Linked DNA regions of Nothobranchius furzeri. The protein of the gene in region 1 purifies or fractionates together with the protein of each later gene. This does not show direct contact. Links are inferred from orthologs where the notes say so. Each region holds a gene or a part of one and is shown in the gene's direction. Other genes may lie near its edges. The genes, in order: ubxn7, nploc4, klhdc3 and toporsa.

What was found.
Region 2: the proteins of ubxn7 (region 1) and nploc4 purify together in Homo sapiens (affinity purification with mass spectrometry; 3 studies listed by BioGRID and IntAct, with this or other methods). This does not show direct contact. The link is inferred for Nothobranchius furzeri from reciprocal best matches to the Homo sapiens genes UBXN7 and NPLOC4.
Region 3: the proteins of ubxn7 (region 1) and klhdc3 purify together in Homo sapiens (affinity purification with mass spectrometry; 3 studies listed by BioGRID and IntAct, with this or other methods). This does not show direct contact. The link is inferred for Nothobranchius furzeri from reciprocal best matches to the Homo sapiens genes UBXN7 and KLHDC3.
Region 4: the proteins of ubxn7 (region 1) and toporsa purify together in Homo sapiens (affinity purification with mass spectrometry; 4 studies listed by BioGRID and IntAct, with this or other methods). This does not show direct contact. The link is inferred for Nothobranchius furzeri from reciprocal best matches to the Homo sapiens genes UBXN7 and TOPORS.

What each region holds. Positions count from the first base shown.
Region 1 is NC_091751.1:53,570,961-53,579,136, reverse strand, and holds the start of ubxn7 (UBX domain-containing protein 7), read left to right. Parts: upstream 1-3,549; coding exon 3,550-3,619; intron 3,620-6,407; coding exon 6,408-6,530; intron 6,531-8,176. Other genes in the region: ppp1r7 (protein phosphatase 1 regulatory subunit 7), read left to right, coding at 1,339-1,515. UniProt on the Homo sapiens protein: Ubiquitin-binding adapter that links a subset of NEDD8-associated cullin ring ligases (CRLs) to the segregase VCP/p97, to regulate turnover of their ubiquitination substrates.
Region 2 is NC_091756.1:53,432,971-53,441,187, reverse strand, and holds the start of nploc4 (nuclear protein localization protein 4 homolog), read left to right. Parts: upstream 1-3,952; 5' UTR 3,953-4,087; coding exon 4,088-4,102; intron 4,103-4,666; coding exon 4,667-4,747; intron 4,748-6,440; coding exon 6,441-6,550; intron 6,551-8,217. Other genes in the region: gastrula zinc finger protein XlCGF57.1, read right to left, coding at 918-1,035. UniProt on the Homo sapiens protein: The ternary complex containing UFD1, VCP and NPLOC4 binds ubiquitinated proteins and is necessary for the export of misfolded proteins from the ER to the cytoplasm, where they are degraded by the proteasome.
Region 3 is NC_091752.1:2,828,284-2,836,395, forward strand, and holds the start of klhdc3 (kelch domain-containing protein 3), read left to right. Parts: upstream 1-2,618; 5' UTR 2,619-2,731; intron 2,732-4,641; 5' UTR 4,642-4,730; coding exon 4,731-4,884; intron 4,885-5,739; coding exon 5,740-5,916; intron 5,917-6,083; coding exon 6,084-6,199; intron 6,200-6,914; coding exon 6,915-6,986; intron 6,987-8,112. UniProt on the Homo sapiens protein: Substrate-recognition component of a Cul2-RING (CRL2) E3 ubiquitin-protein ligase complex of the DesCEND (destruction via C-end degrons) pathway, which recognizes a C-degron located at the extreme C terminus of target proteins, leading to their ubiquitination and degradation.
Region 4 is NC_091746.1:80,961,142-80,969,433, reverse strand, and holds toporsa (topoisomerase I binding, arginine/serine-rich a), read left to right. Parts: upstream 1-4,085; 5' UTR 4,086-4,224; intron 4,225-5,167; 5' UTR 5,168-5,170; coding exon 5,171-7,516; 3' UTR 7,517-7,981; downstream 7,982-8,292. Other genes in the region: ndufb6 (NADH dehydrogenase [ubiquinone] 1 beta subcomplex subunit 6), read left to right, coding at 2,909-3,001, 3,209-3,253, 3,396-3,461. UniProt on the Homo sapiens protein: Functions as an E3 ubiquitin-protein ligase and as an E3 SUMO1-protein ligase. Probable tumor suppressor involved in cell growth, cell proliferation and apoptosis that regulates p53/TP53 stability through ubiquitin-dependent degradation.

The sequences.
Region 1 (8,176 bases):
GAGTTGAGTCACGTTTAGTAACTCTTCTGCTTCATTTGGGTTAGTCGTTGGCAGTGTTGGGAACGTTACTTTTAAAAAGTAATTAGTTGTAGTTACTAATTACTTTGTCAAAAAGTAACTCAGTTACTTACCAAGTTACGAGATTATAAAAGTAACTAATTACCAAGAAAAATAACTACTTGGTTACTTTTTTCGTTAAAGAATACAAGAAAAATGGGTTCCCCTCTTAATTAAACTTACTTTATTTACTATAAATGACTACAATAGTGAAATATAAATGACTAATGCCTGGAACATAATAAAGTGTATGTCCAAATGCTTTCTTTTATAAACCTGAATAATTTAAATAAATAAGCACTTAACAGGAGGAACTACTAACAGGAACATTACACTTATCTAGACTATTAAAAGGTCACTGTGTGATATTTAACAAGACCCCAATCAGTCAAAATTTAAAATTGCAAATAGAAACACCTGTAAAGGTTCCTGAGCCTTTAAATGGTCTCTCAGTCTAGTTAAATTACTGAGATAAATGTAATGTTGTACAGTATTTTAATTTTTCCAGCTTCACATAATTGTGTGTTATTAGTAGCATTTCTGTTGCTGGTAATCTAGAAAAGGTTAAATAAATAAATAAAAATCCTTTAAAATGACACTAGAAGAGGCACAAATCTGATGGAGGACTTAAATGTACTAACTTGGGTCAGACCCAACCACAGAAGAGCTGCAGCTGGGTGGTAAACACACACAGGTAGTTCTGATAACACCTGAGCTCCATGCCATCTGAGACTGATGCATCAGTGTTACAGCGGGACTAAAGACATGATCAGGAACAGGTTACAGCTGGATGATCTAGGAAGGTAGAAGATCGGGACGTCTGAGCGGTGAACAGGTGAGCGGACCTTCGGGACGTCCCGCTGTCACGCTCAGAAGGGCACGGCTGCAGATCCACACCTGCAGCCGTAGACTATTCATCACCTCTTCCTCGTTCTTCACGGGCCGTGATGCGCTTGGATGAAAACATCTACCTCTTTAGCTGATGACAGCTTCAACACACCGCGCTGCTTAACGCACGCGTTACTGCTGGTCGTTGGGTAGCCACAGGCTCTGAGGTCAGTGTTTATTTCTCCTCCCACCTTTGAGGCTGGAGGGTGCAGACGTAGCGCAGGCAGCGTGAAGATTCACTGAATGTCAGCGCACTTGAAACTGGAAAACCATAAATCACGCATCTGCCTAAACGCCTCTGAAGAAGGAGTTTAAAAATGTTTTTGTGTGTGTGTGTGTTGATTCAGTTGGTGCTGATGGCTGTGTGTTTGTTTTTTTTAAATCCCCCCTCAGATGAATGATAATCAGATAGACAACTGGTCAGATCTGGACGAGCTGAAGAACGCCAAGTCTCTGGAGACGGTCTACCTAGAAAGAAACCCGCTACAGAAAGACCCTCAGTACCGGAGAAAGATCATGTTGGCTTTGCCCAGCGTGCGCCAGATCGACGCTACTTTTATCCGCTTCTGAAGCGCAGCGTACGACCCATCCGCCCACCTTTTTGTGTTTCGCCTCGCCTCCTTCCCTCCCTCCCTGCCTGCCCTGCTTACAAAAACAGCTCCTGATAACACTTTGGCCTCTCCATGTCATCCTCTCACCGTGTACACATTCCAACACTCACCCCATTCTTCACTCTCCATACATGAATGCATGTATGCAGTCATTCAAACCTTCATTTATGCTGTTGTGTTGATGCTTTTATTTATTATGGTTGGAACTGTGAAAGTGAAAGTCTACCATATGCTCACATCTGCTTATTTTTCTCCTTTCTGCACTTGTTTTTGTTATTGTTCTGCATGTTGGATACAATTAGGGTTCCCATCAGGGTAAAAGAAACAAGCCTTTTTTGTTGAACAAATTCTTAAAGTTGTTCCAGTGTCATAAAAATTATGTAAGGGTTTGATGCTGCTCTTGTGAGTCACAATAAGAACAATTAAAGATTAATGCTGAAGGGAAAATGTAAAAGGGAAAAAGTAGAATCTAAATTTGTTTGACTCCTGGATTCTACTATATTTCTCAGAAATGCCCTGGCCCCAGTTCTTCACAAAGAACACCTTAATGGAAAATAAAAATCAACTCTATGCTGATTTACAGTAACTTAGAAGAGTGCTACCTGCAGAATGACCAGTTTTTAGCATAAAGGTTTCTTACTAATGTGTCATAAAATAAATGGATGTCAATTAACATGTTTTTTTTGTTGTTGTCCAGCTGCTTCCTTTCCTTAAAACCTGATAGCTGATGACTCATTTCTGTTGTAGGTAAACCCCTTTTGAGAATGTGTCCAAAAACATGGATAATCAGTGATTTTACTATTTTATCTTTAACTCCTTCCTGATTACAGTCGTCGCTTATTATCAACAAACTTAAAACCTGGTCTATACTAAATTAGAATTTGTAGTCTTGGCTGGACTTCCTCAAAAGATTTTTTGTTTTATTGTAAGATAAACTCTCTGTTTGGCATACAATTTGAACATGTTTCAGCTTTAACAATGTAGGATTGCTTACAAATATCAAGTTTAAATTAGTTTTTTTTTACCCTATTAGATTGCTTAAATCAACCTGAGACTACCTGCAACAAATTTTACGACCTGTTACCCCCTCAGGGATGAGATCACCTAGATGTATACGACAGATTCAGCAGATTCCACTGCACCAGTGTTCATCTGTGTAATTAGTCTGATTTAATATTTGATCTCACTCAGTTGGTGATGAAATTACATGAAATGTTGGTTTGTATCAGAAAACCATAAGCTCTTTCCAGTGTAAGAATTATTACCTGTTATGTACCATGAACCATCAACCCAATAAATAGAAGCATACATTACTGACATGAATGTAATTTTATATCCAGTGTATTGAAATTGGTCAAACAATTATTTATGTAAATACAGATTAGAATCTCACAATGTAGAAAACCCATATACCATCATCACCTGCCCCTGTAAAGTGATATTTTACTGTTTTGTTTATGGCTGGCAGCACAATGGATTCGTGTAAAATACTGAAAATAACCCCCCCCACACATACACACCAAAAAAGCTGGTTGGTCACTAAAGGAACTTTTATGAAAATTGCTTTCAGCTCCTTGTTGAACTGAGTCCATGTTTTGGACTCAGTTGATGCTGTTTTCAAACTGAATGTATTATGCAAATATTAAAGTGACACTACTTATGAATCAAGTCTGCAGAGTTTCATTTAATACACCTAATGCGACCACATTTGGAAGTTTGATTTTCCTCTTCTTCAAGCTGTAAACAAATCACATTATGCGTTATTTCATTTAAATTTGCGTTTATACTACTTAATTTATTAATTTTAAATATTATCTTTGTCTCTGATAACATTTCATAGCTTTTCTAATCCTACATCATGTGCAAATAATGAATTGGCGTATATTTGATTTTAAAATACATTACCCACAATCCATCGTTCCGTCGCGCCAGACGTTTGGAAAAGACGGCGTTGCGCATGCGTCACGTCTATGTTGTTGTTTCTGGCGGTAAGATGGCGGCGCTCGGAGACACCTCAGCTCCGGGGGTGAACGGGTTAATTCAACAATTCACAGCAATAACAGGTAAATATAATATTTTATTTAGCTTTCTAAATATTAAGTTGGTTTGTGTGCTCATAGAGGACCGCCCATTTTGCCACAAAACACGTAATGAGGGCGCAGGTAAAGAAAACGGGAGCACAGTCCTGCTCTTACGCTGTCAGTGCTTTGCAGAAGGGAAAAGCAGAGGTATCTTTTTTCTAAACTCTGACCAAACGCTCGGAATATGGCGCATAAATTCATAAGGCACACATATTGTCTTCAACCCAAACTCAATTCATTTTTATTGTCCTCGTGATGATAATTCCAAACACAATTTCGTTAGTATTTCATGTATTTTTGTTATTTTTTTCACACTGCTTGCTTTCTGGCTGTGTGGAACGGACGTCGTACAACATTCCCCTTCTTCATCAGCAGCCTCATGTTGGGTTACTGTCCCTCCGCTGTCACTTTGACACCAGCCTCTCCCGGATAGATAGTAGTTACCGTGTCAAATGTTGGTACGGAGGCACTAAATAGTTTATGAGCACTTTGATGCGATGGACGGTGTTTAAATTTAAAGTTATTTATCAGAATAGAGGAGAGTGGACTCAGCTCAGGGGATAGCAGACTTGGAAAGTGAAACGGTCATGCGCAGTAAAGGCGGAACGATCGTTCTTCCGAGGATATAAATCCTTTTAAAACGATGTAAACTTAACTTGTTTTACGTTTTTTTAAATATATATTTATATTTTCACAGAAATTAAAAACATTAGATTTAATGGCGGCTGAGGGTTATTCTAAGGTGTTCTATGTTTTAACCAATCCAATCGATGCTCGATCGAAAATTGACTGAGGCACAAATGAATACAAAAAATAAAAATAAAAAGGATATTTACTTTATGAAAACTATTTGTTGCTTATTGAGCTTTAATTTGTCTTTTAATAAACATTCAGCATATCTACGATTTTTAACCAGTCCTGTCGTTATCGAGTATGATGCATAAATGCATACTGGTTGTAAATATTATTTCTAATTAGATTATTTTTCGAGTATTTTCAGTAATAAAACACGTTTAACATATTTTTTTACAATAAATATCTATATGAGAATTACATAATTTAAAAGCGCATTTCACAACACAATTGATTTAAAAAGGCAATTTAACATTAAAACAGAGAAGAAAAAATTAAACAAAGGACAGTCTACAAAAACAACCAGCGTAGTATAAAAAAATAAAATACTACTAATTCTAACTGGACTTTCAATTCTTAAAAAAAAACATTTGACATATTAGTGTAATAATTGAACAATGATTTAATATTATTAGATAAAATTATTTCACTTTTGGCAAATGGGGAATTATTTTTTGCACCTGTAAGTAAGTAAGTAAATGTAGTTGGTGTTTAACATAAAACATTATTTACTTTTATATCTCACAGGAGAATGAAATCTAAGAAAAATGAAAAAAATTCTAAAAAGTGTGTTTAGCTAATACACAGAACATGTCTAAATATGTAATTAGAACAGATTTACCATGGTGGTGGTAAACAAATGACACAAACATTTGCCCCTGAGCCATAAATAATAATGCTTTTTCCATCTACACCTTTTAATACAATTCAGATGCACAGCTGAAGTACCACAATCATTACATTTGTGAACAAAAAGTCCGTCAGACTCAGAACTTGTTCCGCAGCAAACAGTCTAGCATTACATACACAGCGCTGTTTACAATTGCTTGCCTATAAGCGCATTCTGGAGGCCACGGTTTAAAAAGAAAAACACTTTAGTTTTCTTACATTGAACTAAATAATTACACTGATTTCTTAATTTTACTGGACAAATTAGGAGTCAGACGTGAGCAGAAGTGTCATGGCCAACTGACCATTTGCTGGTCTCGGTTCAGTTTGCTGCGCCATGTTCTGCCAGGCTTTGATGTGAGGCTTATTGTGTTCCAAGAACAAAATAACTTACAATAAACTACTCCCACGCTTTGCTCTTTGCTAACCGCTTCATGTTTGAGCTCATTTGTTTGGTCATGTGACAAGCTCATTTCTTCTGCGGTTGCCCAGTAAACATACTTTGACAGCGGCGCTCTTGCGCCCTCTAATACATCCCTACTTTTTATAGTGAAATTAAAGACCGGGTTCACTGGAAAACGGTTTTTACTTGACCTATATGATCATTCACTCTTGAGTTTCACATGCAGGCTGAGCATGAGCCTTCTGCCTCATTTCCGGCATTAGCCTCCGTTAGAACAGAGACAGGGAAACAGTCAGCTCTGAAAAAGCTACTCAGATCTACATCATACTTTAAAATAAGCATTCATGGACTCACCCATCTGGGCTCGGTACCAAGGAAGGCTGATATGGATGTCTTGACTAGTAGAAGATATCCCTTAGCATTAGCAACTCCATAACATGGCAGAACTCCTTCAGGCTTGAGCTATTTGTGGAGATAAAACATCAACGTTGCATTTAACCCAAGAAAGAAAAGCAAACGAAAGCAGTGGAAGGGTGGCATTGTGTTAGCGAATCAGAGGAGAGATGTTCACATATGATAAATAACCTCCAAAATGCCCTACTCTACAGTTAGTGTGTTTACATGTGCATCAGAAGACCAAACTATTGCTCTAAATAGACAGACATTTTTTTAAAGTATGTAAATGTACTATGGGCTTGACACACAGGATGGGAGGCCATTTTGCCTCTCCAGTAATTTTTACTGAGCCATGCACGACAAAGCGATAATCACGGGTCTCCCTCCTGCTAAGCGACATGCGTGAAACGTACATGTGAAATTTTGCACTTAAGCATGTGTTGTGCACAGGTGAACCAGCGACGCAATCCCAGAAAGTTGAGGAAATTTCAACTTTTCGTCGCTGTCGCTCGGACAAGGACCAATCAGCGGAGGTTTCATTGACTGACCAGTGTGCGGACAGGATGCTTCTCGGTACATCCCCGGGCAAACATGGAGGAAAAGTTAATACTTGTCATGTCAGATTTCCCAGAGCTTTACAACTTTTCAGCAAAAGAGTACAGAGATCTTTACAAAAAAAGCGGCATCATTAAATGATGGTGTTCACTGTTTCTTTTTCTGTTGTAATATATGGGATGAACCCATTCACATATTTTTCTTTTTTAAACCAGAAGTAAGACTTCACTTAACTCTACCAAAACCTTGTGAGACCTTTCATCTACAGCTTTTTCAAATCTGAACTGCTTTAATAATTCAGCATTCCCTCCATTCTGATGGCCAATCAAAACAACGGAAGACTTGCTATTCGCCCTGGAATAGAGCACGTCGCTGGCTTTTGTCGCCTCCCGTGTGTCAGGTTATCAAAGCGATAGCTCTGAGATCATGGTCGTGCATCGAACCCATTGGTCTTGAGAAGGTGAACTGGTTCTAATCGAGCTGAGGCACCAAGATAATGTGGTTAAAACCCAACTTCATCTGCAGGTAAAGGGCTCAGTCACTCTGTAACGGTAACTTCCGGAAGTGACGAGAATGCAGAAGCGTTCTCCTGATAATATCGATGCCACAAAGTAACACACCGTCAAACAGTAGAGTACAATCCAAATAAGCTTTGCTGCAGCATTGTTGTTCATTCCTTCAGTCGTTATGCTTTTCCTGTTTTTACCCTGTCTGCTTCACTCCCACCAGCATGTGTTTACTATTTGTGTTGCTATAAGCTAACCGGAAGAATGCCGACATTTAAGGGAAGTCGGTTTTCTAACGTACGTGTAAACTAGGGTAGAAGCTCCCAGCTTATTATCGTAGATAAACCTAGATCGACTTAGACGTGCATGTAAACACACTGAGTGAATCATTCATTCATTCACATGCTGATGGTGATGAGCTACATCATAGCCACAGCTGCCCTGGGGCGCACGATCGACATATATACTGGACAATTCATTTCCATAGACTCCAATAACACATTTTTGTGCCAAAATGGGAGGTGGCCACCACCGCCATTTTGACCGTGTCACAGGTTCCGTCATGCCCAGACAATTCCACAAAAGGGAAGAGGGTGGGGCTGAGGGTGGGGCTGTAAGGCTGGGATCAACTGACGACACCCGGTCGAACTAGCTACAAGCTAACCTGAAGCTAACCCAAAGCTAATGAGGAGGTGGGAGCTAAGCTAATGGAGGTAGCAACCTAGCTACAACCGGAGTTAACTGTGTACAACACCAGAGCTTCTGAGTCAGAGATACGCCGGGCTGACTGCTGGGTAAAACCGGGTGGAACACAGAGGTCTCCCGAAAGCTGCTGAAAGCCGGCAGACCGCACAGCAGACAGAAGCCGCGATCAGACAGAGATGCGTCGAGCTGCGGGGAGAACCGGGTGGAAAACATCGGTCTCCCAAGAGCTCCACAAGCCGATAGTCGGAACCCAGCTCCACCAACATGTTATATTTCAACCCATTTTCTAAAGTGCAGCATTATGTTAAATGCACTGGGTTTACCCTATTACATTTAAATTTCATGGTTAAACAGTACATGTTAAAATCTAAGCTCAGCTCGGCAGTGACCTAAATACATAAATATAATTTTACTTACCGAAAAAAATGAAGTGGAGACTCCTTGGACGCTCTA
Region 2 (8,217 bases), on another chromosome or scaffold:
TTGAGAAGATTCAGTGTTTTTAAGTCACTCTTGAAAACACACCTCTTTGCCCTTGCTTTTGACACCATGTGAGATGTCGGTTACTTTCTTTTTTTAGTTTTGACTTATTTTAGCTGTTTTTGTGTGTTTCAATGCTGTTTTTATCTAGTTTTTATTCTTATTATTGGGCTGTTTTAATTTTATGTCTCCTGTGTTTTATTTATTTCTCTTTGCTGCTTTCTGTTTATTCTATTGTTTTAATGTATTTTCTGTACAGCACTTTGTTCCTGTGCTGGGTGTTTTAAAGTGCTTTATAAATAAATGAACTGAACTGAAGTATTCATGTGAAAACCAAAGCAAATAACCATATGTACAGCATGCACAGCTGAGTAACAAAAGCTGCAGAACACAAGTTAGCAGAAATCTTGCTGCCTGGACATGATTTCCTCATAAATTTAGAAAAACTGCACAGCCTCAACATGGTTGTTTTAGTTTGAGTGAACCAGCAATTTTCTCTTCTCATTTGCTCTGGGAAATGATCTCCAGATGTTTGCCTAAAGTTTCGTTAAAAGAACATAAAGGCAGGAGGACATGGTAGAGGGATGATCATGTGGCACAAACCAGGAAACAAAAAGAGTTGAGGGTTTAATCACGACACCAAAATAACTCATAATTCTACTGTGTGCGCTGATAATGATCTGGGGCGACACTTGCTGCTTTTCCTAGCTGTCAACAAGTTATTGTAGGTGTTAAAGATTGGACGAATGTTAAAGAATAAAAAATCGAGCATTTATGAACTATTTATATTAAAATAAACGACAAAGACGAGCTCTTGTTTATCTGAATGCTTCTCTTAGCATCGTTAAGCTAAGCTAACAGTTAGCTGTTTTCTTCTCTTACTTCTCTTAAAGACTCATTAAATCTGTGATTTTACCCACCAGATGTTTGCTTTATAAGAACATCCTTCTGCTGAGGAGCAACGACAGAATTAATGTCTTGTTTCTTCTCTAGAAGTTGACTTTCAGAGGTGTTGCGTTGAAGATCTACTTCTTTCATGATGTTGGACACTAAAACAATCTGCGTCGTTAAATACGATCTGTGCCTAAATCCATCACTGCCGATCACCCCACACCGTGAATATTTATAGCAGGTTGTTTGTTTTGAAAACTGGAAAAAGTGCAACTGCTTGTCCTTTTTTAAAATTCATTTTAACAACTAGACCGTGTGTACGTGGCTCTGTTACATTTTGATCAGGCATCTGCTCAGACGCACACTTGGATTGCCTTTGTGGTGACTCACTGCTGCCATCTACTGGAGACAACCCATCAGTAGGGTCTTTGTCAAGACTGAACTGGAAACGGGTAAAACAAGAAGCACAACATCAGTCTTTCAGACCCTTACAAAGTCTGAGGAACTAACAACCCATACTTCTGGCTCCTGCGGAGGAAAACATTTTTATTTTAATTGAATTGTTTTGATTATTATTATTAAAATACTACCACACATACAGAGAACATACCCTCAATCCCACATGCACAAATAAAATTAAAAACACAGCTATTTGAAATCAATGTTAAATGTTTTAATTTTGTTTATGCTGTGCATGTACTTACTTCAGAATGTCAGTAAATATTCTAACATAGAGAATTTTAAGGACTGTTGCTTTTTTTAAAACTCTCTAATATGTTGATTAAACAAAGATAACACTTTAACTCATTTGAAAATGATGGTAATGAGGTTTTCCATAAAATCAAACTTTATTTGATTTGGCTGTTTATGAGATCAGTTCTCCAACTTTCCTGCTACAGAGCAGGCAACTAGAACTGGAGGCCTCAACACCTGGCTTTATTTGCATAGCATCTTTCAAGGTAAAAACCACAAAGCACTTCACATATAAAAAAATAAAAAATATATAACATAGTCAGGTACAAGAAAAAAAGCTTGTCATCAAAGTAAACCACATAGGTTACATAGTGCATGCAAGCACATTTCTGCTGAATATTGTCATCTTTGATCACTCAGAATAAAGGGGGATCACCTTAAAATTTAAATGTCATTTAAAGGAGCCAGATTGTGCTATTTTATGCCTTTGAGAGCAAAGGTAAGCTCAATATATGATCAAATATTATTGAGATGTAATTTATCTTAAATATGAGGGGGGTTTTTTTTTGTTCGCCTGAATATATACCCGGAACTGAAACGGTCTGTTTCAGTGAAGCTCCGCCTATGCTCGCTCTGACAAAATGGACCTAGAGTCTTCTGTTGACTTAGTAGTCCAGCGATTAAAGTGACCAGGCAGGTACTCTAGCCACTGGACTACAAGGATGTTACATAGCATTGGTTGCCTAAGACACATAGCCTGTGCTGGCCATTACGCGCATCTTTGTGGACAGGACCAAGACCATGAAACCAGACGGGAGATTTGGGAAATGACAGTGAACAGCACAGAGTATAGAGAAGAACATGGCGGAGAAAATGCTGTAACAATAAAGACTCAAGGGTTAAAGCTGCTCAGGGTGAGAGTCTGTGATGTTCCTCAGAGTCATCTCTCTCTCTGTGTCACAACTGTTGCTCATAAGCAGGTTCACCAGTAACTGGACAGGTTGGTGCTAAAGAACCTTCTATAACAAGCCAAACTCTTTTAAAACCAGTTGAAATCATTTAATTTAAGCCTTGATGATTTATTCTGAGAAAAGTGAGAACTTTAAGATTCGATCTGACTTTTATCAGTGCACGTCCTCAGAGCACGATAACAAGCCACCACTGCAAGTGTTTCAACCACGCCTGTCACGTTCTTTGAGATTTATCAGTTTGTAAAAAAAAATTGTAATTACTTTGACTACAAATCAGATGTTGGCACTTTGCATATATGTCACCCCAAATCTCAGCGTACCATATGGCAAGATTTATGGTTGTTCTTTCTGCAAGAAGGATTTGAAGCTTGCTAAACTTACAGGCATTTTTCCTCTGCTCTAGTTTGTGTCTGGTTCGATTAAGTCAATTTAGTGATGCACATTAGTTCTACATGTGTTTTCATACAAAACATAAAACAATGCTGGGTGTGTATAAGCAAATGCTCCCCAATGTAAAACACCCAAGAGTGCTATCACCAGATATAACAATATTATCAACTGTGTATGATTAGTCTTTGTTAGAATCTTCTGGTGCTGATGATCCGTAACTGCAACAACCATGAAACTCACGAGACAGTAGTAAGATAGTGATTGCGGTAACCAATTTTGACCACAGTATTTCATCTTACTATCTTCTTCCATAAATGGTTCAAATGCTTAACACCTTAGATTAGAAGATCACCTCTTTTTGACTGCGCTGTTTCTAATAAGTTTTGATTTGCTAATATGGAGTGGCTGAGTCTAAATATTCCTAACCTTCAGAATTTATTTGTTAACATGTTCTGTTGTTACTGACTTGCAAGTTAATATTTCGGATATGATGAATATGATTTTCCATCTGGGAAAATACCACATTCATTGCTGTAAATGGAGAGACATTGTACTGTGTTTCAACGTTTTTAACCAGTTTTTACTGTGTACTATGGGTTAATTACTAATTGCCCAATCAGTGTTTCTGTATCTTTTTGTTAAAATATTTTGGTGCTCATTTTCCTACACGTATGCATTTCACATAACCTTTCTGATAAGTCCTGTCTGTTTTAAGTTTTACTGTTTTACCACCCAAACTATTTGTTGCATGCTGCAAAATGTTATTACGTGCAACTTGAAATGATGTGCGTTTTTGATTGCTGTCCTCCTTCTTACTTTCCGCTCTCTTTCACAGTTTCCAATTGAATCCAAATACAATTAAATTCACTGCCTGTGAATGACTAAACTAAACAGAAAATATTTAGAATAAAAATCACTGGACAGATTGAATTAATGGTTGTCGAAAAAAAGACACAAATTGGAACCCATGTTTTCAGGCTCACTTGTTTCAGCCGGGGTGAACTGTCGGACACTATAGTGTGCTACACCGGTGTTAGAGTTCTGTGATGGAGTTTCGCTGACAGTCAGCCAGTAACGCTTCGTGACTTTTGTAGTTTTTGTCTATCAGCACAAGGACGTACACCAGTGACTTTCAGTTAGGCGACATGGCGGATAATATAGTAAGTATAATAGTTTGTGGTGTTAATGGTGCTAACGGCAGCTAGCCGGAGTCCTGCGGGATGAGGCAGCAGAATTAGCTTTGTTAGCTAACGTTAGCACAGAGTGACTGCGGCCTGTGCAGATAACTGGCCGAGCTTAGCTCCTTCTTACGATATCCTGATTAAAACAGGTCTGCTGTAAACCTTAAAGCCTTTTGAGCCTAGATGTTTCAATAATAAATTAAATGAGTGAATAAGTATTTTATCGTCTGCTCATTATATGAGTGTTATTGTAATTTTAGAGATACATAATCAGTTGGCTGTATACAAACCAACAAAAAGTATCAGATAAGTTTAATCTCCGTGTTATAGATTTAAAATACTTTCTAATAAACTCAGTCGTATAACCAAGCTTTAACGCTACCTTTTTCATTGTCCTTGTCATCTGAGAGGGACAAAAGTTGGAGAAATGTAAATGTTTTGATTCACTGATTTTCATTCCGAAACTCTGGGACATCCTGGTTTTATGATTAGCTGAAACTCAGACAAAAGTTTAACTTAAGCCTTATTTATTTATTTTTTTAGATAGTCAGGATTCAGTCCCCAGATGGGATGAAGAAAATTGCTTCCACCAAGAGAGAAACGGCAGCTGCCTTTCTAAAGAAGGTAAACAAGTTAACATACACATAATTTTCATTGGTGTTTACGTGTGTAGTGTTTTGTTGTTAGTGGCAAAATGGAAACAAACTAGATTTTAATCACAATTGTCTTTATACAGTATAAATAAGTGGATAAATATTTGGTAACCGATTTTCAATTGGCTAACTTTTTTTTTACTGGATAAAATGTTCTTGCTAAATGACATAATCTGACCAAATCACTGTTTTTGCAAACACATAATGTCAGTAAGTCCCATGACATTGGTTGGTAAATGGTAAATGGCCTGATATTTGATATAGGGCTTTCTAGAGTCCTGGAACCCCCCAAGATGCTTTACAAAAAAATTAGTCATTCACCCATTCACACACACATTCACACTTACATTGTAGCCACAGCTGCCCTGGGGCACACTGACAGAGGCAAATCTGCCATACAGATGCCACCGGTCCCTCCGAACACCACCAACAGGCAAGGTTGGTTGAGTGATTGCCCAAGGACACAACAACAGCGTCAGACTGAGCAGGGCTCGAATCTACAACCTATGCTTATTCATTTCATTTGGATTCAGTGGATATAAGATTTTGCAGCACAAAAACACAAGTCAAAATGAATAAACAAGCATGCTACGCTTTTTTAAACAATCACTTAGTAATTATTGCTGGCAAACATTTGGAATTTTACCAAACACGTGAGTTACAGGCAAGCCTGTAATCTCACACACACACACACACACACACACACACACACACACACACACACACACACACACACACACACACACACACACAAACACAGACTAAGATAAATTGACTAAAGATATGCAGAGAGTACCAGAGCAGGTCTGTCCTGCACAGCTCCTGTGAGCTTTCATGGCTTCCGGGTATTGACAAAAGGCTTGTGGGGAAATTTCCATTCAGGGAATCCAGTTGATGCTAGACAGGGCAGGTTTAATTTGGGGTTTAATTTACTAGTGCTGACATTTCACACAGTTTAAGACCGATTGACATATTTGGTAACTACCACAACTTGGCCTTTAATTTTCTTCTGGTTTTATTTAGTTATCTGATTGACTTAAGCACCCACAATAATAAGAGTTTAATTAAAAGCGTTGGCTTTGAAAGCCTGAAATAGATCAGAATTCCAGCAGCGTTGCAGCACTATCTAATTAAAAATGCATGCTACTGTGTTGCCGCAGGAGAGTGTAGTTTTCAGATCAATGGGAGGAGCAGATCTTTGTCCCTGATCAGTGGAAAAGAAAAACACAAGTGTGTGTGTGTTGGGAGGGGGGGGGGGGGGCTTATATGGTTTGGGCACTGAAGGTTAGCTGTTGAAAGAGATGATGAATGGGATTTATTTAAACATAGTGGCGTCAACAGCCTCTTGTGATTTTTGTCCATCCTGATCTCAAAGATTTATTTTATTTATTTATTTTTTTACAATATGCTAGTTAAGATGTTATCCAGATAGATTTCCTAAATGATGGGATGTTATTAGGATGCAGGACCTCCAACCTGCTCAGTGTACTCATCAGTTGTTGCAAACCAGCTGGACACCTCAAAAACTTTTGATTAATCTGCTTTGAGTGATCTGTAGCAATCACAAGCAGCCTTCACTCAGCAGGTGTCTAGAACAGACTATTAAATACATTAACCAACTTTAAGGTTTTACAACGGTATGTGATCATTTATGTCTCCTACAGGTGGCCAAAGAGTTTGGATTCAGTTCCAATGGGTTCTCTGTTTATCTAAACCGCAACAAGACCGGAGAGATTGTGTCTCAGAACAAAACCCTCAGTCTGCTAAAGATCAAGTGAGTTAAACTGGAAATCATAAGGGTTTGAATTTCAGCATTCAGTTGTGCCACATCTGTGGAAAACAACACATTTTTACATGGAAAGTAAATTCATAAATGCACGTTTTACTAAAAACATTGCAGTTTTTATTTTAAACGACAACACCCTGATTTCAAAAGTGATTTCCTACAACCATATACTAACCATTTAGGCGCCAGAGTTTTTTCAGGAAGCTGTTCAATTTTGACATGACTTTTTCAAAAGGTTGTAGCTCGGAAATGGTTAGAGATAAAGGTAAACTGTAAATGAGAGACATTTTCAGTAGGACCAAAATTCACTCTTCTAATTTGCATAATATGACGTCATCGGGCTGCCGTATTGGAATGCATCATTTTTACAGATGTTCCTTCTTATTTTTTCATGGTATTTAGAAAATGTCATATTTTGAATTTTTCAATTTATATATACATATATGAATTTCTTTGAAATTTAAATTTCATTGTTTATCTTTTATATATATATATATATATATATATATATATATATATATATATATATAACGTCAAACCCAACGTTTGGAATTTGTAAGTGTAGCACTAGCTGTTCAGCAGCGTCAATCTTTGCGGCTGGATGAGTGAATTTCTTCATCAGAGTCGATATTCTGCTTCATAATCGGACTCAGTCATGACCAGACAAAGATATCAGTCAACAAAGACCAGACTTGCCGGAAATCACAAGTTTTATCCCTCTAACATTCACCCTCTTTGTGCACTCGTCTTCTCCCCAACCGGTAACCTCTTAGCGGGAGGCAGTTTTCAAACCCTATAAACTCTGAAACTTTCAGTATAAACACACTCATAAATATAGCTCAGCCTGAAGTTGCATATCTCCACTATCTTCTGGTGTAAGTAATAATTTCATGAGGGATTGTATTTGTAGCTGTGGATCGTTAAAGTCAGTAATGACACTTGTCGCAGTATTGCAACTTTGGCGCTTAAAGGTGTAGGAGAAACTGGTTTGTCTCAGCCATATTTGTAGCGTTATGGTTTTAGGCTCTTTTATGAAAGAGGAACCATGCTACGTATTAATTCGGATTATTAATTTTAATAAATCAATAACCAAATTTTATATTGTTATGAAGACTCAAAGGTTGTTTTCATCGATAAACTGACGATAATATCTGTGTGTCTGTGTTTCAGTTCAATGAGGAAACCAGTTTGACAATTAAAAGTTTTAATTCTTCAAATTAAACTAATGATTTTGAAATTGACAAACAGGAAATAACAATCAACATTGGCAACTTGTGGGACAATCTTTAACAGTTGATATGATCAAATAGACCTTGTGGTGAATTTATGAAGATTGAGAATGTTGTGATATGAATGCGTGTGTGAGTCTGATTTTGCTTCAGGAAGAACAGGTGTCTGAGTGAAGTGATGGTTTGGATAAACTTAGGTCTTATCAGAGAACTGCATCAAACGCTAAACACCGTGCTCTGTCTCACCGAACTCTTGTGGACCCTCTTTCGGATCCGGGCCGTGGAGGATGGTGGTGGTTCATCCAGATGACACCAGCGGCTGACAGGGGAGACGTAGGTGTCGAACGGAACCGGTCCAGAGTTGCCCTCGGTACATGTTGATGGTAAAGCGTTTTGTCGATGCGTTTTCTTAAGTTAATTCACTCA
Region 3 (8,112 bases), on another chromosome or scaffold:
TTCAACAAAAAAATGTTTCCTCAGTTTAGAGGTTTTGTACAATTACAATTTAACAGGACCATGAGAAATGACCTTGTTTTTGTCGTCTTCGTCTTCGTCTTCCTCCGCTTATCCGGGTCCGGGTCGCGGGGGCAGCATCCCAATTAGGGAGCTCCAGGCCGTCCTCTCCCCGGCCTTGTCCACCAGCTCCTCCGGCAGGACCCCAAGGCGTTCCCGGACCAGATTGGAGATGTAACCTCTCCAACGTGTCCTGGGTCGACCCGGGGGCCTCCTGCCGGCAGGACATGCCCGAAACACCTCCCCGGGGAGGCGTCCAGGAGGCATCCTGACCAGATGCCCAAACCACCTCAACTGGCTCCTTTCGATCCGGAGGAGCAGCGGTTCTACTCCGAGTCCCTCCCGAATGTCCGAGCTCCTCACCCTATCTCTAAGGCTGAGCCCGGCCACCCTACGGAGGAAACTCATTTCGGCCGCTTGTATCCGCGATCTCGTTCTTTCGGTCATTACCCAAAGCTCATGACCATAGGTGAGGATTGGGACGTAGATCGACCGGTAAATCGAGAGCCTGGCTTTCTGGCTCAGCTCCCTCTTCCCCACGACAGATCGGCTCAGCGTCCGCATCACTGCAGACGCCGAACCAATCCGCCTGTCGATCTCCCGATCCCTCCTACCCTCACTCGTGAACAAGACCCCGAGATACTTAAACTCCTCCACTTGAGGTAGGACCTCTCCCCCGACCTGGATGTTTTTATGTAAAACATGGAATTAATTTGAAACTGAAGTCATGAAACTTTTATTATATCAACCCCATTACATACAATTTAGTTTAATCCTAAACTCACTTATTGACTCCCCTTTTGGGTCAAGTACTAGACACCATACAATTATTATTTATCCCTTTATTGTTCTGATAGAAAATGATAGTTTGATATCAGCGTAGTGGCTGCCAGTGAGGGTTGGAAAAGGTTACTGCAAGAGAACCCAGATGGTCTGGTTGAACCAGTCGGTTACTGAACTGTCCGTCAGTCATGGTAGACGAATTACAGTAAGCTGAGTCACTGCCGTGTTCTGTTGGACGTGCAAAAACAAATCTGAAACTACTCAAACATTAGCTGCTTCAACAGGCTAATTCTTAATAACATGTTTTGGTTTTAATCTTGTTGCAGATCTTAGAACACTTTCAGTTCCGTATTTTGAAAGAGAGAAAAACTAGTTTCTTATTCTGTGTGTGTGTGTGTGTGTGTGTGTGTGTGTGTGTGTGTGTGTGTGTGTGTGTGTGTGTGTCATGATGCTAAAGATCATGAAATTCCTGCCAGAAAAAGAAAGCTGGAATTTCTAACCTATTTGTGCTGCAAACACACAATTCTATGTTAAAGAAAACATTTTACATAAATAAATGCAATGCTTTATTAATAGCGTTAACATGAAATGCTATGAAATTTTTAAGATTGCATTTGTTTCAAAGAGCAGGTTCACTGAGAACCCATTTTTAACGTATCATCTTTGGAAATGATCAGTCACTCTGAGTTTAACGTGCAGGCTGAATGAGAAATTAGCCTTCTACCCTTATTACCTACATTAGCTTCTGTTAGAAAACCGATGAAAACACACTCAGTTCAGAAAAGCCTGACAGATCTATGTTTTGCTGTCACTTAAAAATCATGGTTCACCCATCTTGATTCACAACAGGAAAGGTTGTTGTTGGTTTACCATCCAGGAAAGAGCAGAGAACATCTCGGCTAGTAGCTAACTGGCAAATCTCCTTCAGGCTTGTACTGTTTGAGGAGCTATAACATCAGTGTAGCAAAGTAAACAGAGTCAGTGATAGAGTTGTGTTCTTGTTAGCCGATCCAAGTCAAGATGTCCAAATATCAGGAAATAAGACTCCTGCCGTCTGAAGCTACTTTCTTTCTTTTGACTACTACGTCCTCAAACAAGCATACCAAAGCTTTTTTCTTCCCAGAAATCAACTTGCAAAACATTCATTCCTGCAGTTTATTAAAAATATGAACAAAATTGTCTTTTAAAATGACAAAAACACATTTTGACTGGTTCAGACTGGCCACTAGCTCATCTTTCTGATCAGCACTGATTTCTTTTTCACCAAACTAAAGTTCTAAAATAAGATATATACAAAAGTGCCAAGTAACAAAATAGAAATACTTCCTTAACGTGCTGAAGTACTCATGTTGTTACTCTAATTGCATTATAATTACTCATTTTGATTCAAAATATTCTGTTTTATTTGAATTTTACAGATATTATCTTGGTAAAATTCACAATCTTAGAAAAGACAGAATTGTGGGGTCTCCCTGCAATCTTATGGGGACCTTCTTGGGGGGATTCATGGACCCCAGGTAAGTTAAACAGGTTAGTTTACAGGTTGTGGGACGGCTTAAGCTTTTGTACATAAACATTTTACTGTAATACTTTAATACAATTGAAACACCAGCCCATTTGTACTTTCAGTCAGATGCTTTATTTGATTGTTCTACTTCTACAGAAGTCTCTTTAGACTTTAGTAGCTATACTTCTACTTGAGTCTAATGACTCTGAATGCTTTTATTTTCTCTATTTTCGACTCAAAATAATCTGTACTGTCCCTTTAAGACATAAATAGATGGAAACATCCGCCAGGGGGCGCTGACGGCGGCTCTCGCCCTCTGACATCTCCACACTGGATACTTCTGCTGCCTAAACACCAGTTAACCACTGGCGTTTCAACCTAAAGGTAGTTAAATTATGTATCTACAACACTTCATTTTGATTGAGCCGTTTGTTGTTTTCGACATGGGTCGAAATAAGCGGGGCTCTTCTAAGAGTCGCCGGTTGTTTCCATACAGTTTATGCTAACAGCTATTAGCTTTAGCTCAGCTAGCAACAGTTTCTCCTTCAGCGTTAGCTGTCAGACGGCTGGGTGGTTACCGAGCTCCCAGATTGCTAGACTGCAGCTGATTTTGTAATAACGAAATTTATATTGATAGACAAGCCACGTTCGCGGTTTGATGACGTTTCTCTGCCACCCCTGACAGATGACGTTAGCCAGTTAGCCGATGTGTTATCTGGTCTTCACTGTTACAGCTCTTATGTCTTCAGCTCTGGGTACATCAGCTATTATGTGTCCTTCTTTTGCATATTTGAACTGACAGTATAAGTGCTACATTTGCCTTTTTGTTTGTTTGTTATAGAACCATTGTGGTTTCTGGTTTTCTTAGATGTCACTGTCATGGTTGCTAGCATACCTGACATTATCAATAACCTGTTCAGTAGGTCAGCATAGTAGAGGCTGTTCTTATCTCTGGATCTAAACTGAGCACTTTAACATGTTAATGTTAACAGAATGTGCTGTTGTGTTTTATGTGACAGAAACGTCTGGTTTGCTTTAAAGGTTTGAAAGTTTGCAACACAACTCAAACCTAACAAAGTGGATTAAGCCGAATATTTCTCATGGGTTAGGTTGTTCTGGCTTCTGTTGCTCCTCGGAAATATCTGGGATTAAAATAGAATGAATCTAAGTTTAATAGTAGCCGCTGGGGGGAGGGGGGGGGGTATTTTTAAGAGAAACAAAAGGTTGAAGGTCAGTGAGTAACTGAGTCCTGAAGGAATAAATAAACAAGCACAGCGTACGTCAGGATGAAGGTTTATTTCAAAAGGTTCTTTTGAATCAAACATAGGTTGAATACCACATCTTGTTTTGGTCAACATTATTCTTCAGATTAGGAATATCCATCTGGTAATAAATTTGAATCTCTTGCGTCTATTTTTAAGAAATGCCCTTTTTTTGGTGTTTTACTTTGCAAATAACTCTCCAGGCAGTTAATATTACACAGCTGTATAACCGTGCAAAATTAACTGCCAAGATAAGCAAAGGATTGTTTGAGCTTCTGTCTGTGCTAAGCGAAGCACAGACAAGTTGTTGGGTTGATTTTATTTGTTGCAACAGTGCTTCTTGGCAATCACCGGAAATCCAGGTTAGTCACCTTTAGTACGAGGAACAACTTGTAAATATTGGATTTCTGCGGCGTGAGCTCTTCAGCAAAAAGTGTGGGGTACACCTTTAAAAATGTGTTCAAATGCCCTGCAATGTTCTCCTGTTGGTATTCAGTCTTGTTCTGGATTGGATGATTGCATTTTCCCTTAATAATAACAACAAAAAACAAGACACATTGTCTAATTTTACACCAAATTTGTTTTATACTGTCAGGGACCTTAAAAGCGTGTGGAAGATCCATACGCATCCACATCAACGTGGCTCCACAGCTGTGGAATAGGTTCCCATTCCTCAACCTGGAGTTGTTGAAGGTCAAATGAATATTCAGCTTATGTGAGTTGACTTGGACATCACACATTCATTTGTAATGCTCCTCTTAGGGGTTGGATTTGCGCTTTTATGTTCCTAAAACAACTTTTGTGGCCAGTGGGAGGGTGCTGAAAGAGGAGTGAAGAGAGAGAACAAGAACTTGTAGGTGTGGGTCTAGTCACCTCTTAAAATACCCTCCCAGCTTAGACACTGGGGCTCGCGAGCCCGTCAGCAACAGCAGAGCCGAACGAGCCAAGAGAACAGTTTGTTACTCTTTGGTCTTTTCTTGGCTGTGTGACATTTTGCTCTTCTTGCTCCACCTCCTGTTGTTTCGATCACAGGCTTCAATGGTACGAGCTTTGATGGGGTCCAAGTGGGTCAGCAAGTGATGGTGTAAGGACTCGGGGACGCAGAGGTGCTCGCGCGTGGAATGTTGCGCTGGTCGGTGCACCTAGAAGGAGGGCCGCGGAGAGTCAACCATGCTGCTGTGGCGGTGGGACACAAGGTCTACTCCTTCGGAGGCTACTGCTCCGGGGAGGACTACGAGACACTGCGTCAAATTGATGTGCATGTTTTCAACACAGGTAAAAAAAAAAAACAACACGATCAATCAAATTACCAAACAGGTGCACACACTGGTAAAATCAACTGAGTTTGTGCACCTAATGTCATTTTTATTATGTAATTGTGTCAAAAGCCCATTAAAAAAAAACTTTATATCAAAACATGAGTCTCAAGACTGCTGTTTGGTTTTTAAGAAACCACAGCTTTAATTTCTAAAAATCTGTTTGGTTTTTTTGATAAAATAGTTTAAAATCTGAGAGACTGGAAGTTCATACAGAGCTGTACCACTTCATCACAGCAGAAACGTGCAGTTCAACTCCAAACGTCCCAATGTGGTTTCTGAAATAGTTCCTGTTAGACGTCTTTCAGTAGCTAAGTGACAACCAGGTGTTTTTCTGTAAACATTCCACCCTGATCCTTACAAAACCGCTCATTTCTTTCTTCTCGTAACCCGTTTACACTCGTTTTTTTTGCCCGTGTGTGGCCAGCCAGCTGCTCTCTTTGGTGTTTTACCGTTTCTCAGGCAGCTTGATCCTGCCTGCTGTTACAGTTTCTTAAGAAGAAGAAAGTTCAGTGGAACCAGCCCCTCAGCTGATTGTAAAGGAAACGGCACCATAACTATTGTTTCTCTCTACTTCACACTGTTCTCCTTCTCTTTGATGTAGATTTTACAGCAGGGATTGTGTTAGTTTTTATTCCTGAGATCTGGGATGAAAGTCATTTTTTCCCACAGGTTTTTACAGACGAGTAAAAATATTTTTTCCAACATCCATTTTAATTTTTCATTCATTTCATATTTTTATTAGACATGTTGTGATGATCCCCTCTAAAGAAGCTTGCGGCAGTGGCAAACTTCTGATTGTTGTGTATTTCAGTGTCGTTGCGTTGGACAAAGCTGCCTCCAGTGAGGACAGGAGGACACGAACGTGCCCGCGAAGTACCGTACATGCGTTACGGCCACACGGCTGTGCTGTTGGATGATACCATCTTCCTCTGGGGTGGGCGTAACGACACAGAGGGGGCCTGCAATGTACTCTATGCCTTTGATGTTAGTAAGTAGAGCCCCGTCTCACTCATGCTGTCAAAGGATGGTTTCAGGCTGGGCTTCCTCTCAGGTGCTGTTTGATGTGGAGATCGTGTTAGCTAAACCTGGTTTTTAAGTTTGAGAGCTAGAACGTCTGCATGGGTGTGATGGTTTTGTCTCGTGTGTGCTTTGTAGATACCCACAGATGGTACACGCCCAAGATTTCAGGGGCAGTTCCTGGGGCAAGAGATGGCCACTCCGCCTGTGTCCTGGGGAAGACGATGTATATATTTGGAGGGTATGAACAGCTGGTAAGTCTTTATCACTCTTCAGTGTTGGGCCTGCCTTGCAGCATTACCCCGGCTTTCCACGGGAGTCGTCAGCAGCACGTTACTGCAGCAGCACGTCATAGCTGCTGATAGGAACCGCTGTGGTCAACAGAACCTTTTCCACTGGAGCCGTCGGCAGCCGTCAGCAGTGCGAGTCGGCCGCGTCTCAGGAGCAGCATGTCGCGGCCTTTACGCGCCGGTTCTATTTTCTACGCGCGACGCCTCTGAAACGGGTCAAGTTCGACATTTTTGGGGAAGGAAAGACAGGAAATCGGACGCGGAAATGGAGAGAAGCTCCCGAGATTTTCAGAATAAAGAACGTACTGCCTTCCGGTTGCTTTACTTTTAAAAAAGGTTGCTAACTGTGCGGCCCCGTGAGAAGTTATCACCTAGCTAGCGGTCTCCTTTGTTTTTCAGGTCCGTATTGGCGATTATAAAACGGACAGAACATAAAACACAAACCATGTTGTAGTTTTCTCCTGCTTGTTGTTGTGTTTACTGACGAAGTCACTCGTGTGACTTCGTGCTCGGTCGGTGACAGCTGCTCCCCTGCTGCTTCGCGTCTCGTGGGAAGGGCCAAGCAGCAGCTTACGCGAGCAAGACGTGCTGCTGCAGTAACGCGCTGCTGACGGCTCCCGTGGAAACCCGGGGCTAGAGTGAAAGGGGACTGAACAGATTCTTGTTTTTTTTATTTTAGGCTGACTGCTTCTCCAATGACATCCACAGGCTGGATACCACCACCATGGTGTGGTCATTAATAAATGCAAGAGTAAGTTTAAATAACCAGTTGTTTATCTTTAGAGAACCTTTTGGTGTGTGTGTGTGTGTGTGTGTGTGTGTGTGTGTGTGTGTATGTGTGTGTGTGTGTGTGTGTGTGTGTGTGTGTGTGTGTGTGTGTGTGTGTGTGTGTGTGTGTGTGTGTGTGTGTGTGTGTGTGTGTGTGTGATTGATGTCAACTTCCTCAATCCCCTATTTAGTATATTTTAAGAGGCTATTTTATACAAGAGGATAAACTGTTTCTAGTTCCTCTGTGTTTTTTTTACTTGTTTTTTTTTAATCTGATGAGTCACTCAGGGTTTAACACGCAGGCTTAATGTGAAATAGTCTTATAGGCCTATTTCCTGCTTTAGCTGCCGATAGGAAACAGACAGGGAAACGCTTGATTAGAAAAGCCAAACAATTCATGGAGTAACCCATACTGGCTTGCAACGGGGCAGGCTGTTGTTGATTTAGCGTCCTGGAGAGAGCAGAGCACGTCTCAGCTAGTAGAAGTTAACTGTTAGCATTAGCAACTCCACAACATGGCAGAACTCTTCCAGGCTTGTGTTATTTGTGTTGAAACACTAATGGTATTTGATCTGAATTCCAGTCAGGTACTAGCACAGCTGCACTGAAGGTGGTGAATGATATCGTCGTTGCCCTAGACAAAAAGCAGCATTGTGTGTCTCTTTTTATAGACTTGTCAAAAGCATTTCACACTGTTGATCATGGTGTTTTAAAACTTAGACTCCTCCATCTTAGGTGTGTTATTGCTGTGTCGTGGTTCTAATTCCATGCTGTCGTTCTTTTTAAAACACAGAAACAGTTTTGTTTACCTGTTTTGTCGCTACGTTTCGCCGGCGGCTGCAGGCTTCCTCAGGCTGACGGAGAAGGAAGTGGCGCGCCACCATCAGCGTCAGCCTGAGGAAGCCTGCAGCCGCCGGCGAAACGTAGCGACAAAACAGGTAAACAAAACTGTTTCTGTGTTTTAAAAAGAACGACAGCATGGAATTAAACTCCTCCAGTCAGGACTGTCTGGAAAAGCAGAGGGATGGTTTTCAAATTACCTCACCAACAGGTCTCAAGTGTATTAAATCAGATGGACTTTGTTCAAAATTCGCTACAGTCCACAAGGG
Region 4 (8,292 bases), on another chromosome or scaffold:
CTAATGATGGGTCAAATGCAGCCAAAATCATATGTGTCATTAAAGACAAATTCTGTATATACATATATATATATATATATATATATATATATGTATATACACATAACGTGTGCGTATGTTTTCATGTACAGCTCCAAACATTTGAGAAAAAATATCTGGTTGATCATGAACCTGACCTTTCTGGTCGGCTCATGGGTACCCAGGAGAACAAATAAATGAATGCAAGTAAATGCCGTACCCTCGTTGAAAGTCGTACTCTACTCTTTCTTTATGTTATTTTTGTTCACTGCATTTATATTTACTAATGTTATAGCATGTCAATAGCTCTCTTCGGGAGACCTGGAGATGGACTGTCCGATCTCGGGGGCAGAAGTTGCTGAGGTAGTCAAACAACTACACAGCGGCGGAGCCCCGGGGGCGGATGAGGTTCTTCCTGGGTATCTCAAGGCTATGGATGTGGTAGGGCTGTCGTGGTTGAAACGTCTCTGCAACATTGCGTGGTCATCGGGGGCAGTTCCTGTGGAGTGGCAGACCGGGGTGGTGGTCCCCATCTTTAAGAAGGGTGACCGGAGGGTGTGTTCCAACTATAGGGGGATCACACTCCTCAGCCTCCCTGGAAAGGTCTACTCCAAGGTACTGGAGTGGAGGTTCCGATCGATAGTTGAATCTCAGATAGAGGAGGAGGAATGTGGTTTTCGTCCTGGCCGTGGAACTGTGGACCAGCTCTATACCCTTGCAAGGGTGATGGAGGGGGCATGGGAGTTTGCCCAACCAATCCACATGTGCTTTGTGGATTTGGAGAAGGCTTATGACCGTGTCCCCAGGGGCTTTCTGTGGGGGACGCTCCAGGAGTATGGGGTGGGTGGCCTTTAGTTAAGGGCCATTCAGTCCCTTTACCAGAGGAGCGTGAGTTCTGTCCGCATAGCCGGTAGTAAGTCGGACCTGTTCCCAGTGAGGGTTGGACTCCGCCAGGGCTGCCCTTTGTCACCGGTTCTGTTCATTACCTTTATGGACAGAATTTCTAGGCGCAGCCGTGGTGTGGAGTGTGTCGAGTTTGGTGGCAGGAGAATCTCGTCTCTGCTTTTTGCAGATGATGTGGTCCTCCTAGCTTCATCCAGCTCTGACCTTCAGCTCTTGCTGGGAAGGTTCGCGGCCGAGTGTGAAGCGGCTGGGATGAGGATCAGCACCTCCAAATCTGAGACCATGGTTCTCGACCAGAAAAGGGTGGCTTGCCAACTCCGGGTCGGGAGAGAGGTCCTACCTCAAGTGGAGGAGTTTAAGTATCTCGGGGTCTTGTTCACGAGTGAGGGTAGGAGGGATCAGGAGATCGACAGGCGGATTAGTTCGGCGTCTGCAGTGATGCGGATGCTGAGCCGATCTGTCGTGGGGAAGAGGGAGCTGAGCCAGAAAGCCAGGCTCTCGATCTACCGGTCGATCTACGTCCCAATCCTCACCTATGGTCATGAGCTTTGGGTAATGACCGAAAGAACGAGATCGCGGATACAAGCGGCCGAAATGAGTTTCCTCCGTAGGGTGGCCGGGCTCAGCCTTAGAGATAGGGCGAGGAGCTCGGACATTTGGGAGGGACTCGGAGTAGAACCGCTGCTCCTCCGGATCGAAAGGAGCCAGTTGAGGTGGTTTGGGCATCTGGTCAGGATGCCTCCTGGACGCCTCCCTGGGGAGGTGTTTTGGGCATGTCCTGCCAGCAGGAGGCCTCCAGGTCGACCCAGGACACTTTGGAGAGGTTACATCTCCAATCTGGTCCGGGAACGCCTTGGGGTCCTGCCAGAGGAGCTGGTGGACAAGGCCGGGAAGAGGACGGTCTGGAGCTCCCTAGTTGGGATGCAGCCCCCGCGACCCGGACCCGGATAAGCGGAGGAAGACGACGACGAAGATAGCTCCTTTTGAATTTAGTTTTTGGATTCACAACATTTTGAAAGTACTATGTTTGTAAATTTACCAAATAAAGTTCTTTTTTTTTTAATTAATGCAAATCAACGGGGCTAAGAGTAATTGTATAATCCGCTTTGCCTTATGCCCTAAGTCGCACATATGTTGTACTTCAATTTAAATGAACATTAGTGATGGGTGTTTTTGACCACGCCAGTCACGCACTTTGAGATTTACCAGCTTGTAAAAGTTCATAATTAGCATCACTACAAATCAGACATCAGTACTTCGCATTTATGACATCACCACAGAATCTCCTCTCCCCTAGCGGAGCTGTTATTTACCACATAGCCAGATTTATGGTGGTTTTTTCCTCCTGAAGCAAGGATTTGAAGTTTGTTGAACTTACAGCCATTTTCCCTGTTTTTCTCCGTGTCTGGTTCAATGTCGTCACTTTCGTAATGCACATTTTTAGTCCTGGACTTATTTTCACAAAAAACCTAAAATAACGTTTCCCTCACGTTAGAAAATAAGCTCTTTATTGGCGTCAAAGCGCGTCTTTAAAAATCACTGACATCATATGTGAAATCAATGACTCATAACAAACAGAATTAGAAAATTGCATTTTCAGCCCCTTTGACTTGTATTCCTATTTTTATTCTTCTGGGGACCCGTGGTCCAGAGGGAGATGGGCATGACTTTAGCTCCCTGTAATGCTCTAATTGTATGGCACCCCATTCCTGCCATTCTGATAAAACCAAAAATAAAACACCTTTATTTCTTAATTATGAGATAAAAAGTAATTTTTTTAATTAGTGGCGGGAATAGGCTTCTGTCAACTGGCGCGTGAATTAAGAGAAGACTGGTTAAATAACTCCAGTTTGCTTAAAACTTTAAATGTTATTAATTAAATATTGAATTTAATCTAAAAGTGGATGGAAAATCCGATCTGTGATGAGAACATTTTTTTAGTTTCAGTTAAACATGCTTCTATAACTTTTTGTTTGTTTTCTTGCAGACCTACAAAGCATACAAAGGTGGAGTTTTCACAATCACACGTCTGCTCCTGCCTGGCTGGATTGTTCACTACTATGTGAAATATCACGTTGCTGTAAGTTTCCCCAAAAGTTTTGCAGTGTTTGTAGCACGTTTCTCCACCTGGTTTTCACTCATCCATTAAGCAGGATAGGACTAGACTTTTTCCTGTGTCTTCAGTTGTTTCTTGGCTATAATCAGACAGTCTCACTCAGTTTATGGATTCAAGTTTAATTTGTGTGATCAGTAGGATTACTAGCTAAAAGGTACATTTTCTCCACAGACAAAACCATATGGGATTGTGGAGACGAAACCCAAGCTTTTACCTGTGAGTATAGCATATATACTAGTTCTGAATAATACACGTGTGTTATTTTAATTAGCTGTTTTCTGTTTATGTGGTACAATCATTGTCTACCACTGACGTCATTGACTTGCTGTCTGAGATGTTTAATTGACCTTTCTTACAGGGTGACACCATTCTGGAGACTGGCGAAGTGTTACCTGATCTCCCAGAGATCCATGGCCATCACTAAATAAAAAAAAATGTGATTAATTTTTTTGTTTTTCTGTTGTAAAAACTGTATATTACAATAAAATATTACAAAATTCTTCATGTCTGACTGTAATGAGTGTGGTGTTGGGTTTTAACTGGAAGAATTTCATCATTTATTCCAGGACTTTGTGCTCATGATAAGATTTAGTTTTGTGTAGCTTTTCTTTTTAATAGGTTTTTAAATTATTATGTTGCATGAACATTTTAACATGATTGGTGTTTATGAGGCGGTCATAAATCAGTTTATGAGGTGTCGCAATTAGCACCGTTACCTCGCAGAGAGACACTCGCAGGTCGAAACTGCTGCTGCACCTTTTCTGCGCAGTTAGTACTCACCCCCCTCCTCGTGTGTGTGAACCTGAAAAGTTGTTTAATTGTAATCATGTTTTTTACTGATCGTGATTGAATTGGATTAATTTGCATCTTAGGTTTTATAGTCTTTAAACGGTCTCAATTCCATTCATGCTAGATCAAATCACACTGTTAGTTATTGTAGTCTTACAGACATCCTCAAAGCCTGGTTTTAGTGGAACTTTTTCACTTGAGTTATAAATAAAACCGGAAGTGTCTAAAGAAGTGCTCTTATTTTGAAGAGCGGAAGTGTTCGAACGTTGAAATTATGAAACCGGTGGAAAGGAGGTGAAACGCTAGCTGACAGATGTTTACTAAAAAGTGGATTTATTCATGAAGGAAACTCCTAATTCGTTGCCAGTGGTGTGTATGTGTGTTTGTCAAAGTCGCAGGTAAATATCTTACAACTCATTAACGGACTCCTTGCCGTCGTGTCATAACTTTAACGGCACCGTGCTAGCTAACGTAGCCACCTTGTGCTAGCTTCAACCAAAAACCCAGCTATAATCTACAGTTAGCTTTGTTCTGCGAATAAGAATATTTTTATGACTATTTGTTGAGGTTGTTTATGTTTTCAAACTAATCCAACATTAAATTTTCATCAAATCAAAACGGGATCGTAACAACGTCAGCATTCACTAAAACACACAACAAATGTGCCGAAAGACATATTTAATACGTTTTCTTGCGTTTCTATTATCTTGCCAAATATAAGAGCCATGTCTTTTTAGGTTGTCTTTCTGATTGTCCCGTTTAGTTAGTTTTGACTTATTTGAAAGACAACCAAAAGTTACAGCTCCTTAAAAGACAAAATATGGGCTGTGACGGTGATAAATGTCCTCTAGAGTAGAAATCTGTTCAGGTTAACGAGAATTGTTTGTGTTCATTTTCATATTTTCATAATGGGGCAGAAACGTAACTTTTAAATGCATCGCACTTTTCGCAGAAAAAAATCACGAAGTGCTTCACAGTAAAAATAGAAAATACGAGGAAATAAACAAGCAACAATTATAAATAAAATAAGGCAAAGCAAGTTTAAAAAGCCAAGTCTTTAAAAGTTTCATAGTTTATTTTAATCAACAACTTTTTCCATTGTTTATTACTAAGATCTATGTAAATCTGTAATAACACCAGCCCTGTGAACTTAGTGAATAAATGATTCAAACATAAAATAAATTCCATAATTTAATCATAGATGGAAAGCGGTTTATATATTTTTGCTGTTCTAGTTACTGCGTTTTATTCAATCAGCCTGCTTAGGTTGGCTTTATTGGTGTTTAAAGTAAGAGCTTGTATTTTGAAGATCACTCCAGCTTTTTCTTCTCTCCACATTAGATCATGTCTGCAGTCCAGATTGCCCTGCAACACAACCAGAACAGTGCCAGAGGTAAAAACTCTAAAGCGATGTCTGGAGAGGCATCGCCAGACTCCAAGTGCCCCATTTGCTTGGACAGATTCAACAACATTTCCCACTTGGACCGCTGCCTGCACAAGTTCTGTTTTCGCTGTATCTTGGAGTGGTCCAAAAACAAGGCCGAATGTCCGCTCTGCAAACAGCCGTTTAGGTCAATCTATCACAGCGTGAAGTCAGATCAAGACTTTCAGAGGTATGAAATCAAACAGCAGGTGGAGAATGCCTCTTTTGGCTATTTTGAGGGAGTGCGGTTCAGATACCGAACAACTTTCACTGGAGTTCGAGCAACGAGACGAACCTCTCCTCCTCCAGACAACGGAGTCATGTTCGAAGCCGCGACACGCCCGACCCTGGAGCAGCACCGAGATCATTACATTCGACGCATGATGACGAGGTTGGAAGCCAAGAGGCGAGCTGCGAGGGAAGGCAGGGCGGTGAACAGTGTCAGAGAGCAAGAGATGATAAACTTCAGGAGGGAACTGTACCGACGGGGTGTGAGGGTTCAGAGCGTGAAAGATGGCGGTCGGTCCCGAAACACCTCTGCTGAGTTTTATCGAAGAAATCCAGCCTGCCTGCACAGACTGGTCCCCTGGCTGAAGAGAGAACTGATGGTTTTGTACGGGGCCCATGGCTCTTTGGTCAATATAGTTCAGCACATCATCATGTCACGCATTACGCGTTATGATATGGAGGATGGAGCGATCCAGGGAGAGCTCAGACCATTCCTGCAAGGTCGAACCGAGCACTTTCTACACGAGTTCCTCAGCTTTGCAAAATCCCCCTTCAATATGGAGGCCTATGACCAACATGCAGTCTATGACTGCCCCGCCCCCTCCGGAAACGAAGGCAGCAGCTCCAACTCATCTGTGATTGCTATCTCGGAGGATGAGGATACCTTTGCAGAAGTGGATCCCCCAGGGGAACCTACTTCTCTTAGCCACTCTCTGTGGGACGACGAGACGCCTGGACCGTCATATTCCACTTCAGCCGAGCAGAGAGAAGCAACAGCGATGACACCTTTGAACTTGGACTCAGATATTAGTTCAGAGGAGGAGATGCAAGAGTTTGAGGCTTCTCCACACCGGCAGAGCTCACATAACCCAGCTGGCGTGCCTCAGAGTAACCGCAACGAGGAAGACCGTGTGTCTTCTGACAGCGAGGACTGTGTCATCATAGGGTTTGTCAAACCGACAGCAGAGAGGACTCCTGAGCTGGTTCACCTCTCCTCTGACTCGAACGAGTCTGAGATTGAGGATACTGAAGAGGCACCTCTCCCGCCCCATCACATCCGTTTCACCAGTTGTAGCCCTGCAGCTTCACACAGAAGCGGCTCTGTCAAGGTGGGACAAAGCCCAGAAACAGATCGCCATCGTCAGTTGGATTCAAAAGAAAGATCTTTAACCTCCAGAACGCACAAAACATCCAAAAAGCCAAACAGTAACGAGAAAAACAGGAGATACGACAGCAAAGATAGAGTGAAAGATCGGCATAAACCAAAGGACCGAGAGTACCGGAGGAAAAGGAGAAATTCAAAAAGTAGAGAGCGCAGGCTCTCAAGCAGAAGTCCAGAGAACTCCAACAGCAGCCTCAGTTCTCAGTCTGCTGAAACCGATTCTTCATACTCCCGTGGCAGAGACTTCTCCAAGTCTGGCCCAGTTTATAGAAGAAAGGACGGGGACCACAGCTACCAGTCGTACAGCCATTACAGACGAGATAAGAACGGTAGCGTGACGCGTTACACTCACAGACAGTCCTACTATTACAGTAGCAACAAGTATTCTCACTCTCGCTCCAGAAGCCGTAGTAGAGATTCACAGAGACGGCACAGGAGGTGGTCCCAATCCAGAAGTTGCTCCAGCTCCCCTTCAACAAAACGGAAGTCCCATCACAACAAACCAGGTGGGAAACGAAAATACAAAACCAGGCATTTGGAGGATTCATCCAAAGACCTACTCCAAGACGCGCGTGCTGACGGTGACCCAGAGTTCTCAACAAAGCACAAGAAAAAGAGCAAAGAAAGGCGTCATAAAACATCCAGAAGGAGCAGCTGCAGCGTGGAAGACACCAAGAACAGAGAAGAACGCGACCGAAGCAAGCATCACCATAAGAAGAAGAAGAAACACAAGAAAACCAAAAGGCACAAGCATGAAGCGCCAAAATCCAAGAGCTCACTGGCTGTTATCACTATCGATAGCGACTCTGATTCCGTCTGTACTTTTGCTAAAAGCATCCTCACTGATGAGCAAGCTAACCCCCGAGCTGAGGACTGATCCTCACCGGGTTTGACATTAGCTGCCAAAGCTTGACAACAATAATCCTAAATATTTTTTGTTGATGTTCATCAGCCCACGACTAAATGGACTTATAATGAAAGGTCCAGTTATACTCTTATCATTTCACTGTATTTATGTACCAACAAGCCCTCAGTGCCTCAGTTTGCTTTTGTTGTTTAAGATGACAACGTTGTTTTATGGTAAACATGTTCCTGCCATCAAGGTTGGGACAAATCATCACATTTAATCTGGTTATCCTTAGTAGAAATTAATTTTTATATAAAATTCTGAGATTTTTTCAGGGGAAAATGTTTCTTCTTATTGCAATAAGTCAGCAACATTTTATTGGCAGCTACTTCTACCTGCCTCTTGATGTAATTATATTTTACTGATGCTATTTAGATTTTAAAATGGGCTTTTGTGGATTTCATTTAATGTAAGAATAAATATATATTGATTTAACATGTTCTCAGTTTAGCTGGTTGTTCTTCCAAATATTGACTGATGTTTGTTTTATTTATTTTTGAATTTTCTAATGTTATGGGGGATTGGGAATCAAGCTTTGAGGTGGACAGTTTTAGATTCATGCGTTACTGCTCTGTAACAAAAAATTGTGATGTTATGCAAAAGAGGAGGGGAGAGAGAGAGAGAGAGAGAGAGAGAGAGAGAGAGAGAGAGAGAGAGAGAGAGAGAGAGAGAGAGAGAGAGAGAGAGAGAGAGAGAGAGAGAGAGAGAGAGAGAGAGAGAGAGAGAGAGAGAGAGAGAGAGAGAGA